Linked DNA regions of Mytilus edulis. The main gene of each other region encodes a partner of the protein of the gene in region 2 in a complex. Links are inferred from orthologs where the notes say so. Each region holds a gene or a part of one and is shown on either strand. Other genes may lie near its edges.

The links. Proteins that work in one complex are often made in the same cells at the same time.
Region 1: ubiquitin carboxyl-terminal hydrolase 39-like (region 2) and U6 snRNA-associated Sm-like protein LSm6 share a complex: the UniProt entries of both Homo sapiens proteins name them as parts of the U4/U6-U5 tri-snRNP complex. The link is inferred for Mytilus edulis from reciprocal best matches to the Homo sapiens genes USP39 and LSM6.

Annotation. Positions count from the first base shown.
Region 1 is NC_092347.1:98,520,449-98,528,394, forward strand, and holds the start of U6 snRNA-associated Sm-like protein LSm6, read right to left. Parts: upstream 3,018-7,946; 5' UTR 2,911-3,017; exon of another isoform or gene 2,763-2,910; intron 2,714-2,762; exon of another isoform or gene 1,766-2,713; 5' UTR 1,764-1,765; coding exon 1,673-1,763; intron 287-1,672; coding exon 173-286; intron 1-172. Other genes in the region: iron-sulfur cluster co-chaperone protein HscB-like, read left to right, coding at 3,028-3,462, 4,683-5,057. UniProt on the Homo sapiens protein: Plays a role in pre-mRNA splicing as component of the U4/U6-U5 tri-snRNP complex that is involved in spliceosome assembly, and as component of the precatalytic spliceosome (spliceosome B complex).
Region 2 is NC_092352.1:16,012,989-16,020,286, forward strand, and holds the start of ubiquitin carboxyl-terminal hydrolase 39-like, read right to left. Parts: upstream 3,012-7,298; 5' UTR 2,975-3,011; coding exon 2,368-2,974; intron 1,727-2,367; coding exon 1,663-1,726; intron 1,169-1,662; coding exon 1,074-1,168; intron 1-1,073.

The DNA of each region.
Region 1 (7,946 bases), on a different chromosome or scaffold from region 2:
TGTTCTGACAACTACTGATCTGAAGATCAAACTTTTAAATTTTTTTTTTTTTTTTGTGGTTCCCCATAAACTGACATAATTTCAAACTAACACATAGTTTACATTCCTACCACCAGAAACAGCATAACTGCCTCTTGCTTTTTGACTCAGTTAAGGCAAGACAAAAACCTACCATTATTTCCCCTAATGAAGGCATCTCCATATTTGTTTTTCAGCTGTCCATTCACATATTCTTCTGTTTGTTCCAAAGCAATGTTCATATATCCATCCAAGCAAGCTAAGACACCTAGTAATTTAAAAAAAATCAGAATTATACCTTTACAAATAGTGAACTTCTATTAATTTCTAGCTTTCAAAATTATCTTATAGTATTAAATTCACTGTATATATGTTGTATAGCACAAATTCAATTTAATTAATTAATTATTTTTGTCTAAATAAATTTTAAATGCGCAAAATAATCAACTTATTGATGGTGGCCGCGTATTGGTAGAAGTAGAAGTATTCAGAATAAAAAGTTCATAAAAATATTCAATAAATTCAGGGTTACTGAAAACAAGAATTTTTGTTCATAGCTACTAATATTTACAAATTAAAAAGATTGGGATGTGGATTCCTCTATAAGATTGTTGTGTCAATAGTTTGCTCAGTGTCTCATTCATACATTGGAGTGTACTCTCATTTCCTTAAATTCATATACTGTACTTAAAAGGGTTCTTAAAAATAAACATCAATATACATATACATACTAACTAGATATCATTGAGATGGGAGCCATCTCTGTGGGCCCCGCTGTGAATAATATGCATTAAAAAATTGTATATTTACCATAGGACATGGGTTTGTCAACTGAAATCAAAGTTTTTGACCTTGACCTTTGACCTAGGAAGTTGTAAATAAATTATGACACACCCTTTGGTGTTGGTTTATAAACATGTCAAGTATAAACTTTGAAATGATAACGGTTCTCAAGATATAGAGCGGACAGGATCTTTACCATAGGACATGGGTTTGTCAACTGAAATCAAAGTTTTTGACCTTGACCTTTGACCTAGGAAGTTGTAAATAAATTATGACACACCCTTTGGTGTTGGTTTATAAACATGTCAAGTAAAAACTTTGAAATGATAATGGTTCTCAAGATATAGAGCGGACAGGATCTTTACCATAGGACATGGGGTTGTCAACTGAAACCAAAGTTTTTGACCTTGAACTTTGCCCTAGGCAGTCGTTCATAAATTATGACACACCCTCTGGTGTTGGTTCATATACATGTCAAGTATAAACTTTGAAATCATAACGGTTCTCAAGATACAGAGCGGACACGATCTTCACCACAGGACACAGGGTTGTCAATTGAAACCATTTTTTTTTTACCTTGACCTTTGACCTAGGAAGTTGTACATACATCATGACACGCCCTCTGGTGGTGGTTAATAAACATGTAAAGTATTAAGTATGAAATCATAACGGTTCTCTAGATATGGAGCCGACACAAAGTGTTATGGACGGACGGACAGACTGATCACTATAGGGTGACCCGCCTTTGGCTGGGCCCTAATAAATAAAACATTCAGTTTAGTATCAGTATTGTCTACAATAGGTGACTCAAAAACTATGAAAATAAAAAGCGGAAAATAATGAAGTCCTATTTGTCTTTAAATTGTCATACCTCTGTAATCCACACCTGAATTCAGCTTAACTACAACAGGTCTGCCTATGATTTGTTTCAAAAACTCACTGGGAGTCTGTTTTCTACTCATACCTAAAAATAGACAACTTAATTTTAATTCAAACTATAAATAGAATATTGCTACACATGTTTGTATACATATATTAATTGTGCCATGGGGTATTCAAGATCTATAAATTTATCACAATTGTAGTTTTAAAACATTTAGCATACATTTATTAAATTAAAAATATTATTAGATTTTAATTCCCAAAACATTTTGTGCAGTATAGAATAAAACTTTTCACCTGTTCATGCAACATGTGTTTGAGGCTACAATGATAGATTCAACTAACTACCTTATCTCCGAACTGGCATATTGTTGAGAAAATACCAAAGAAGAGAAATATTAACCGACAAGACCTAAGGTTAATGAGTTCAAGTACAAACTTATCGCCTGTTAATATAAGACATATAATGCATATTAAAACAAGAATATGTCCCATCCGCACTATCATTTTCTATGTTCAGTGGACCTTGAAAATGGGAAAAATCTCTAATTTGGCATTAAAATTAGAAAGATCATATCATGGGGAACATGTTTATTAAGTTTCAGTTTGATTGGACTTCAACTTCATAAAAAAACTACCTCGACCAAAAACTTTAACCTGATCCGGGACAATCGGACTAATGGATTAAAGGACAAATGGACAGACGAGCGGACGCACAGACCAGAAAACACATATAATGCCCATAAATGGGCCAAAAAGTCAGATAATTTAGATTGAATTTGAAACTTCGGCCCAAACAACTGTCGCTGAAATTGGAAATGTAGCCGAAACGACCTCAATTGAGAATAAAGGTGTGTACACGGGAACCTGTGTGATTTTAGTAATTGGCAGTCAAATTTGCATACAAGTGTAAATACGTCTATATGAATATTCAAACAAAGCCAAAGGGATTGGACTTCGAAACAACCTGTACCGAAATTGTAATATGGCCGAACTATTCTGTGGACGAAATGGTAGTGGCCGAAACGACCTGTGGTTGTTGACGAAATGGGACGAAAATTGGTAGTGACCGAAACGACCTGTGGTTGTGGACGAAATGGTAGTGTGGCCGAAACATCTCTAGAAATATTCTTTTCATACAGTTTTCAAACATATTTGTGAGTTGAAGGTAAAACAGGTGTTAAGCCAAAGCTGAACTTTAGATATCATATCGATACCATTACATACTTATAAACTATAGACTGCAAACACTTGTCTTGCCGCTTGAAGAAATGAAAACATATTCTCACGATATCTGCTCTATCAAATGCATTAAGACACGTGATATTTCTCGCGTTAATCAAGATGTCTGCGCCCATGAAGTTATTAAAATCCTTTCAAAATTTGATATCTACCAATATAAGACAAATTAATACATTTTCAAGTAAAGAAATATGTTACATTCATTTTATAGCAAATCAAAGAACTAGACAATACCACAGTTTTTATTGTCATACGCCAAGTTTACACCAGGGTACCTTTTATGTCAAAACCTCCTTACGAAATCGAAGGAATTATAGTCTACAACATAGAGAATGTTGGCGTTGTGGAAAACCAACAAATACCAAGGAAGACATATTTTTCTGCAAGTGTGGGGTTGTTCAATCAGTCAACTCATTGTCTTATTTCGAAATAATGAGCTTAGGTGATAGTTTTGATGTTGACACAGCAGTCTTGTCACAAAAGTACAAAGAATTACAAAAGTTGCTGCATCCAGACAAGCACACATTAAAATCAGAGGTAAATAGTTCATGTTTGGCTGTTTGACACCTGACGGTAAAGGGCATTTCTTTCCTCATATATGTCAATCTATTTTTTTTTAAATAAGTTCCCGCATTTATATGGCCGTTTACATGGTTAAGGGCAGGTATTATGGTATACTGTTATCCGTCCATCCTTCCTCAACATTTTGGTCATTAATTGAAAAATGCTTGTACCAATTTGCATAATACTTTGGTGAATTGTTCACTGGCGGATCCAGAAATTTCCGTAAGTGGGGGCCCGCTCCAGTCACGCTTCAGTGATTCCCTAGTATATAAGCTACCAAATTTTTTTCCAAAAAGGGCCCCCCCCAAAAAAATCTGCCTCTGTTGTATATATCTAATAAGTAACTTCCCTTTAGATGTTTAGTTTTTCACAAATTTTTGATATAAGGGTAGTAATGCCCTTTTACGTCAGGAGTCAAACAGCCATTTTCAGCTGTCGTTAGTGTCAAATTGGTTAAAATTTTACCGTGATTTGTCAAAATCAGTCGATGTTTTTATAGTCTAAAAGAAGGTGTACATTTTATCGCCATACACCAAAAATTACTGTTAACACCATTTGGCAAGAACTTTTACCGTTCTTTGTCATGAAGGTACCCCCTATACAACCCTCTGATAAGACATGAAGAATTTATTGAAATTCATTGTTTTAAAATGCAACAGGCGTATCATGCACTCAAGGCTCAGCTGTTTATTTGTTAGTTGTTATATGTTGTCCACTCCTATACACGACACATAAACAGCCAAACAAAAGTTAGGACCAATAGCCTAGCGCCCAGGCCCCATCGAAAATCACAGAAAGGTAACACTGTGCCGCTGAAAACTCTTTTTTTAAGAGGCTAGGTGGTCTAGTCGTCTAACGCATCTGTCTCAGTGCAATGCGATTTGGCGTCATGATATCTCCCGGCAAGGGAAGAACAAAAGCAAATTTACCAATCTAAAATTGTTGGGCTAATGTTTAGACAAATTATTTATACATATATATGGTATTCTATATTTTTTGATTCCTTAAGACAATATTCATTGTTGCTTTTAGTTTTCAATTTTTGTGTTTTAATTTTCTATTGGGTTGTTGTTCCTGGCCTGAAATTGACATTTGCCCCCATATCTTCCTTCAATTATTTGTGTATATTGTTAACGATTTGTATGTGTGTTTCTCAATCTGTTAACAATTTTATTATACTAAATTCATTCCAGGAAGAAAAAATCCTTTTTGAAGAGCAGTCATCCCTAGTAAATAAAGCTTACAGTACTTTGGTTAAACCTTTGAATCGTGCATTATACATGCTTGAACAAACTGGACACCCAATAGAGGAACAGAATAGTAATGTTGATCAAGAATTCTTAATGGAAATCATGGAAATCAATGAAGACATTGCTGATGCTGATTCTCCAGAGTCACTCAAACCTATAGAAATAATAAACAAGAAAAGACTGGATGATAACATAAGTCAAGTATCTAAAGCCTTTCAGGAAGGGGACATAACTGCAGCTAAACAGCTTGTCATAAAACTCAAATATTTCACAAATATTGATGACAAAATCAAAGAAATTTACAGAGGCCAGTTCTGATTTTTTGTGACCTACAAATACCTGTTGCAAAAGCAACTGAATGTTTATAGGATCTGATATTGCCTAGAATTGTAGCTTCTACAATGTTGGTCTACCTGGATGATTGGTGGGAAAAAAATGATATATTCTTGAAAAAGAGGATAATTTTTTATGGCATTTACTTTGCAACACAGATTATCTTTATACCAGAGGCATTTGGGACAGGAACCCACTGTTATTTTAATCAGATTGGAACCCCTGTTTATTTTTATCTGTGATACGTTTATTCTCGATGAAATTAATTATTTAGCTTAGTTTTTTTTTCTATTGTCTACAAAGTTTGTGATTAAGATAATTGGTAAACTAGAATACAGTCCCACCTATTTGAATTTCAACATTACATTTTTCTGTCAAAATAATGCAAGGGCTAGACACAATTATGTCTGTGTCAACATTTAATGAATTCATTTCCGAGTGGTCTTAATCTTATTTTTTAACTATATATAAAGTTTGAAGTTAATTTGTTTCTATGAGTTTTCATTTTATTTCAATGTATATACGTGTATATATCAAACTACCTGAGAAAATAACAGAAATCTATCTTTAACTCATTTTTGTCTGTCTACTTCAAATCTAAAAAAACATTCAAAAATAAATATAGGTTTCATATCAAGTGAGAATTTGATATTTATTACTTGATATTAACGATCATTAACCCCAGTTATTTTTTTATGTAATGAAACTGATACAAAGAAAGGTTGTGATACACTAGTAAAAGTATTACCAAATTAATATGCAGAATTGTTATAGCCAGTGTGAAGTTAAATAATGCTGATTTATTTTGTGTATATGTGTATGAAGTGGAATATAAATATGTGTGCTGGAAGAGAGTGATGTAAATGTGTGAACAGCTGGTTACATGTCTTTATTAGACACCTTATGAGTATTAATAAAAACTATATTTGTAGACTTTGAATTTTTAGAACTGTCAATTTCCATCTGGAGTTATTATGATTAATGAAGTGGGTGTGGTAAGTGTAGTTGAGACATCTCTAAAAGAAACCAAAGGATGTAGAAGTTAATACTGTAAATTCAGAAATTATGGGATGCATTTATTATTGCGATTTTTCACAAATGGACAACGTTGCATGTTTAATTATTGCGATAACAAAAAAATTTGCATGAAGATCTATGTTTCTGTTATCAAAATTCAAGGTCTTATTATTGCAACACTCACCCAGTCGTATTAATCACATTAATAAAAAACCTCACAATATTTTTTTTATTTTTTACAGTAACTGTAGATCTATCATCAATGTAAGGCCTTTAAAAATGAGCAAAACTATATTACATTGTAAGCTATAAAAAGCAACAAAATTACAAATGAAAACCAATTCAATGAGAAAACTAAGGATCTGATTTATGTATATAAACAAATCTTGATATATAGCAACAACTGATTTGGTACAGCACATACAGAATGTGGTGGGGTACATATTGGCTGGTGCCAAACCTTCCCCTAACCTGAGACAGTGATGTATCAGTACAACACAAGAACATTGTCTTAAACCAGGTGCTCCACAGGGCGCAGCTTTATACGACCCCAGTGGTCGAACCCTGAACAGTTGGGGCAAATTTGGTCACAATATTCAAGCTTGATACCGTCTGAATTTTGATTGTGATCAAATTTTTGACATAATATAGGTTTTTGCCACAAAATTAATGTGGTTCAAGATCTAACACATCTATTGCACAATACTGTGCAATTGAATATTTCTTATTGAAACTTTTCAAAATTTGAAATTTATAAAATGTTGAAAAAAAAAAAATCCCTTACAATAAATGGTAAACTGAGATCCCCCCCCAATTTATTGAAACCCCCCTTGGAGCAATAACCCTTAAACTCAATCCCATGCTTTCCTTTGTAATATTGAACCTTGTATTACGATTTCAGAGATCCATACACTTAAACACAAGTTATTGTCATGATTGTTTGGAAACTAGAAACATGCTTCTTTTTGGCCCTTAATTCCTACATATTTTGGGCAATTAACCCAAAACTTAATCCCAGCCTCCCCTTTGTTATATGGTACATTGTGGTACAATTTCAGAGCGATCCATGCAATTACACACAAGGTATTGTCTGGAAACTAGAAAAATGCTTATTTTGGCCCTTAATTCTTAAACTTTGGCCCCATAACCCCTTAAATGAATCCAAACCTTCTACTTGTGATTTTAAACATTGCAGTATACTTTCAGAGCAATTGAAATACTGGTAAACAATGGTAAACAAGTTATTATCCTGAAACTAGAAAAATGCTTGTTTTGGCCCCTTTTGGGCCCCTTATTCCTAAACGGTTTGGACCATCATCCCAAAAATAAATCCCAACCTTCCTTTTGTGGTATTGAACCTTCTGTAAAAATTTCATTAAGATCTAATCACTTAAACTAAAGTTATTATCCGGAAACCAAAGTGTCTTCGGACGACGATGACATCATACCATTATACGAACCCAAAATTGTTTTGGGGTCGTATAAAAATAATGATATAATCATGATGATAGATAGATTAAAGAGATATAAACAGCAAGACTGATCACAAAAAAGGCTCTATAAATGCATACATGACTGAAATCTTAAATTGACTCATTGGAGTTATAGCCCCTAATGTGATGATTAGGACATTTTATTTTGTGTTTTGACTGCCAAAAAAGTGTCAGAATGAGAGATATGGATTATAATCTGGTGATGGCCAGTTAACTATCTGTTAAAATCTTTATATTTCAGAAGAAAGAAGACCTAGATGCTTCTTAACTTGTATGCAGATGACTTGTATTACAAAGTTTCCATCTGTCATTTGTCCTTGACCTCATTTTCATAATTCAGTGAAAAGGGGAAAGGTTTGCTGTA
Region 2 (7,298 bases):
AGATATATTGAACCATTTATTTTTATTATATAGTTAAAACTACCTAAGAATAATAAAGGGCTTCGTCAAAACACAGAAAACAGCTGTACTTCCACTCCTCGTTATCTAGAGGAGCCATTTTGAAACCCCACATGACCTCAAAACGTGTTTCCGGTTCTAATTTTAGAAAACAAAATTTTCCGATTTGATTTATTTACCTTTCACGATGTTTTAATGTTGTTGAAGAACTGAAATAATATCCTCAGATATCGTAGATTTTAATAGAAACATTGATTTCAACTGTTAAGAACGGCAAATAGCGTAAAATTGCGGCTTTTATTGGGACAATATTTATGTATCCTGAAAGATACACTCGCCCTGCGCATCGTGTATCCTCAAGGATACATCCGCCCTGCGCATTGTGTATCCTCAAGGATACACTCGCCGCGAAAGGGTTAAAATTAGAAAGATCATATCATAGGGAACATGTGTACCAAGTTTGAAGTCGATTGGACTTCAACTTCATCAAAAACTACCTCGACCAAAAACTTTAACCTGAAGCGGGACAGACGGACGGACGGACGCACAGACCAGAAAACATAATGCCCCTCTACTATCGTAGGTGGGGCATAAAAATGAAATTGGTATTGCGCGTTCCTTCCTATTTTATACTAGACTGATAAATATATATTTTACTCAAAGTTTCATACAAACGAGACCGGAAAAAGGAAGTACATTGTACATTTCCGCGCAGGTCCGGGATTTCAAAACACGACAAAAAAAATTTGAACGATTTTGAGTTCATTAGTACAATGAAAAATTCGGGAAATTTTCCCGAATTTTTTTTTTAATTGAATTTTCTACTGTTATTGGGGACTTCGTCCCCATATAAATTTGCAATGAAAATTAGAGTAGACTCGACTTTTAACTAAACTATATATTCTGGAAAATGATAATGAATCCCCTCTACTACAGACTTCTGTGCAAGAACTGAAACTGGTAATTTAAATCTCATATGCAATAGTAAAGGTTCTAAATGCTATTACAGTATATATATTATGAATTTATGATAAATAATAGTGTGTTAAACTTACCTTGGAAATATTTTCCACATACTAAGCATGCATACACATTGATGTGGGACAAGGACACAGAACATAACTTCTCAAAGTCAAAATCAAGAACAGATCTAAAACAAAAAATTTATCAATATAAACCTGTAGTGTTAAAATCTTGTAAGTATAAATTATGCTTCTCATTCATTACTACTATTTTTTTCCCCTTCTAAACAATTCAATTTTGAAATAGTTGTTCAATAATTCATAAACAACTACTGCTGAGTCTGTCTTTCAACACATCTCCAGAGTCAAACAATGAACATGAAAATCAATCAAAGAACTTGAAAAGTATACCATTATTACCCTTGTCCAACAGTGAACATATAAATGGTTTCTGGACAGCATTCAACCAAAAACATTAAAATTTGAAATCAATAAGTTACAGTACATTGTAAATTTTTACAAACATGACCAATACTTCAATTAAAATCAGCAAAATGATGAATTTTGTATAGATTTTTTTATTGAAGATAAATCACCTGAATATTTTGATTGTTGTTTTTTTTCTTGCCACTTCTAGACATAAAATATTGTTTATGGAAAGTAGAATAATATTTGTTCTTACCTATTAATAGTGTCCAAATAAGGACAGATTCTGCTTCTGTCAACTTTAGGGTCCTGTATTGCCGCTACAATATATATGTTTATCATAATTATCTATCTATAAATCATGCAGAGTAAAGCAACCAACAATCAATCAATCTTTCTATAAACATGTGTGACAGGGGGACATTAATTTTTATTTACAATGGAGTGCTACAATGTAACAGAAAGAGCAAATTTACCTGTGTGTAATGTGAGTAATCTTTAATGTTTCCTGATCTTTTAAGTACATTAATTTGTTGTTAAGATAAAAAAATTTGACATCAATCATGAAAAATTAGTTATACCACTGATACATAACTTTCAATTCGTCATGCTTTGCATTGGCAATAGCCAATTTTGTCCGGTATGGAACCAGTCTACGATTGACAAAGGGAAGTAATTTGTTTAAAAAGTGTGCAATAACAGAATCAAATCGGTAATTGGCAAATGGACTATTGAATTCATTCATTGGCAACTCAAGCAATGTCTAACTTGGGTTTAAGTTCAATAACTTTTTCACTTTACAACAGAAATAAAATGACTAAGGGTCAGAGTTCGAAAGCAGGGTGGGTTGAGTAACCGTAAACAGACAATTTTTTGGGAGCCTTATGAGGATGTTATGAAACCCCTTACCATATATATATCATTTTTTAAGTTTTACCAATAAAAGACCTTTTTAATATACCTATTTCCTCATCTTCTTCTTCAATCTTCACTGTTGTCTTTTTACTTGTACTTTTTATTGGTGACTGCTTTTTATCTGCTGATGATTTGGATTCTGTACCCTTTCCTTTTTTCACCTTCTCTTTCTCCTTCTTTTCACTCTTTTTGTCAGATTTTCCAGATTTTTCAGCAGCAGTTATCTCTTTTTTTACTTCTTTTCTTGATTTTTCACTGCCTACAGCTTTATCTGGACTTATTCCACTTTTAGCAACATCTGAAGGGTCTTCGTTTCTTTTAGGTTGGATTACATCAGACTGTCTATTGTCTGAAATTGGCTTGTTTTTTTGTTGACTAGGAGATTTTTCAACCTTAGATGACGAGTCTGTTAGTTTCTGGTCACTGACAACTGTCACCTGGCTGGCAATACGAGATCCCGATTTTTGTGTAGGCTCTTGTTGTGCCTTTGAATGCTCTTCGACAGATGAATCGAGTTTTGGCTTTTTATTTTTTTTAAGAATTGATTTCATGGGGTTGTCATCGTCTTCTTGGACAGTTTCTGGTACATGAGTACGCTTTAATATCGCTCTTGATGAACTTTTTAATTTCGTGCTCAGTTCGTTCGCCGCCATGCCGATATGTGGATGTGAAGTACGTCATTGCATTTGTATAATTCTGATAATTAGTAAACCAATTCCGGAATTTATGAACCGGATTTTGCCTTGTATTAGTTCTCGATTAACAATATAATTATATTGGATTTATTTCCAAGTGCTCCAATATTGGAGGGATTTACGTAAGAAGAAGAAGAAGAATTAGCGATAAAGTGTCAAAATAACTAAATATGGTAAACTGTTTACTTATTGTAAAGAAAACATCAAATACGAATAAAAGTTAAATATGTAAAAAAAGAAAAAAGTGGAACAAAATATATATATAGACATAGAAATTGCCAATGTTTCTAATAACATCACTCAGAAAATCAAAGTTGAAAAGAAAAGAAACATCAAGTTTATTAGATGCTATAATTGTCAGTGTCTTGGCCATCCTGCTAACCAGTGCCAGGACAAAAAACATTGTCACAACTGTGGATCAAATTCCTGCTCAGAAACTTTCTGTACAAAGCCAGCTACCTGTAGAAACTGTCAACAAAATCATAAATCGTCATCATCTCACTGTCCAGCCTTCATCAGATTTATCAACCAACATAAATTTAAAAACTGTATCTAACCATATATATATATTCAACATGAAAATCCTTTTCCTTAATACTCAATCTTTTAAAACAGCAACTGGACTCAAAGAAATTTGTGAAAAATATAATGTTGACATCTTATGTATTAATGAATCCTTTGAATCTGAAAAAAATCCACTCTCATTTGGTTATTGGAAACCAATAACATCACCTAGACCAAATAAAGCAAGGGGAGGATCTGCAATATTTTTAAAGCCAAGCAATCATTTCATAGGACAAAGACAGGAACATTTGGAACTAAAAGACATTGAAATGGTCAGTATCGAGGTAAAAGACAGCAAAAACAAAACATTTCATCCGTACATCCCACCAGAAAAACCAGAGTTAATGAAAAAGCTTTGTACACATATTGAACAACAAAATTTAAACAATTTAATATTGGTAGGTGATCTAAATGCTAAATCCTTCGAATGGAACAATGCAGTTGAAAATAAACATGGAGAATTACTAGAACAATGTATGACAACATCTAAGCTGATTTGTGTTAATGATGATCAGGCTACAAGAAGAGCAAGTAGTTCTGTAATAGACTTATTTCTAATTTCAAGGCATCTATTTAATGATGTTAAAAATTGTGTAACCCTAACTCATGAAAAGGTACAATCAGACCATATTGCAGTATTGTTAGATTTTAATGCAGGTAATCCTCACGAAGAAAATACATCAGAAGAGGAATATTGGAATATCAAAAAATGTGATTGGAATGCATGGAAAGAAACAGCAAAAGACTCATTTTCAAAATTATCCTTTCCACAAAATGAAAATATAGAAAATAACTACAACAGATTTGAAGAAACTTTAACAAACTGTATGACAAAATGCATCCCCTTAGTCAAACCAAAGAAAAAGACGATAATACAACACCCCCCATGGTGGAATGATGATATCAGAGAAATGAAAGGAAAACTAAACAAAGCTCAAAAGAAATTTAAATTAAGAAGTACACCAGAAAATTTTGAAAATGTTGCAAAAGCAGAAAATGATTTTGAAATGACAAAAAAAGATGCCCAAAATAAATGGTCTGAAGACTTGTGTGAAAAAATTGGAGAAGCAAAATCTTTAAGGGAAAAATGGTCAAATTTCAAAAAATTAACTAAAAAGAAATCTGAAAATTTAGTACATCCATTGCAAGGAAATAATGGAAATATTCTTTTCACTGAATCAGAAAAATCTAACATCCTGAAAAATACCTTCTTTGAAGGTTACCATTTAAAAGCAAATAATTTTAATCAACAATTCTATGATGACATCACACAGCAATACATCAGCATTAGTACTTCTAATCAAGAAGAAAATACAGATAACATCAAGTACAATGATTATATTACAATGGAAGAGTTAGAAGGATCCATTTTTAAATTAAAAAAAGAATCAGCACCAGGTCCAGACTTCTTTTTTACTGAACTTTTCATCAATGGTGGAAGCGAATTAAAGTCCAAACTTTTGGACATCATTAACCAGTCATGGGAAGAAGGAATTATACCATTAAATTGGAGAAGAGCAAATGTCAAATTTATAAAAAAATTATATAAACCAAATTACAATTTACCATCATCTTACAGACCTATCAGCTTAACTAGTGTAGTGGCAAAATTAATGGAAAGAATTATAACATACAGGTTAGAAGGATTTGTAGAAATGAACAACATCATGGACCAAGAACAAGAAGGTTTTCGACATTTTAGAGGTACAACAAATGCCTTATTATCTTTAACACAAGCTATTTTTAATGGATTTAACAAAGACAAAACCACTATTGTCATTTTTATCGATTTTGAAAAAGCTTATGATAGCGTTTGGAGAGAGGGTTTAATGGTAAAGTTGTACAATGACGGCATCAAAGGTAAAATGTGGATGTGGATTAATGCCTTCCTCAGTCACCGAGAAGCTAGATGTATGGTGAACAATTACAAAAGTCCTTGGTTTCAAACAAGTATTGGTCTGCCACAAGGATCTGTTATCTCCCCAATCCTGTTTAATATTTTTATAAAAGATATTTTTAAATCCGTGTCTGCAGACTGCTGTAAGTTTGCAGATGATGCAACTATTTGGCACTCACATTCAGATCCAAAAGTTATACAAGAAAAACTGCAAAAAGATCTCAATCAAGTACAAAAATGGAGCAATGATTGGAGAATGAAACTTAGCATTCAAAAAACAGAGTACAGTATTTTCAGTAAAGAAAAAAATAAAGTCCAAAATATCAAACTAAAGCTTGGAAACACAATTCTAAAATACAACCCTAATCCAGTTATACTTGGATTAAAATTAGATGAACAACTAAATTTCAATAGTCACATAGAATCTACAGTAAAGAAAGCCAAAAGATCTTTAGGAATTATAAGAGAAATCAAGGGAATAGCATTAATACCAACAAAGACACTCATTCAAATATATGACAGCTTAGTATGTTCAATTTTTAATTATGCTAGTAGTATTTGGCAATCCAGCACTTCAAGTCATTTAGACAAATTAAATGAAATACAAAGAAAAGGTTTAGCATTGTGTTTAGATCTACCATCTCAATCATCCCTTGAAGCATTAGAAGTACTTAGTGGAACATTACCAATAGATTTAAGAAGAGAGGAAATGGCCATCAGAGAGTTAGGAAAAATTAATTCTTTTAGTAATAATATCCCAATTAAAAGAAAATTTGAAATTTGGAAAGAGGAGAAAAATCCAGAAAAATATATATCACCACTAGGAAAAATGTACCAACAAACTGAAGATATGAAAGATACAGAATTGGTTGATATAGACAAGATAGAACCGCAGTATGAATACCAAGGTCTAGTATCAGTCATTAGAGCCCCTGACTACTGGCGTAACATAGGCAGCTCAAAATCCAGAACAACAGCCCAAATAGAGGAAGGAAAACAAATCATCTCGGAACAACTCCAATCTCAAACACCAAACACAGCAGTTGCTTTTACAGATGGGTCATGTTTAGGAAATCCAGGCCCCTGCGGTGCAGGAGCTATAATTTACATTAATGATAAAGAAGAAAAATTAAAAAGACCTGTCTCTAACAAAGGCTCAATCTTGCTAGCTGAACTTATAGCAATAAAAATGGTTCTGGATTACATAGAATCTTTTTCAAAAGAGCAAATTAATACTTTAACTTTATTTTCGGACAGTCAGACAGCATTAGGTATCTTAACTCTCAATTGGAAAAGTGACAGCTATCATCAAACCATTAACGAAATCAAAGGGAAAATAAAAAATTTAAACGAACATGGATTTTTAATAAACTTAAACTGGACACCAGGACATGCCAACATAAAAGGAAATGACGAGGCAGACTCCTTGGCAAAAGAAGCTGCTAAAGAAGCAGAAACACTAGCCATTGATGATATAGTGTTTACAAAACAAGATGTAAAAAAAGCAGCAAGAAATTCTGTTACAAAAAAATGGCAACGCAGATGGGAAAATATTGATACTGGACGTCACTATTTCAGATTTCATCCTGAAGTTAAAGATAAAGTTAAAAAAGACTTCCCGTCAAAAAAAATGTACAACATAATCAACAGTTTACGAACAGGTTATTCTAAATTAAATGCATACCAATTTATAATAAACCAGCACATCGACACGGAAACCTGTCATCACTGCAAACAAAAAGAAAATGTACAACACTACCTTTTTGAATGTGACCTGTATTCAGATGCCAGAGACAAATTATTTCATCAAATATACTTCAT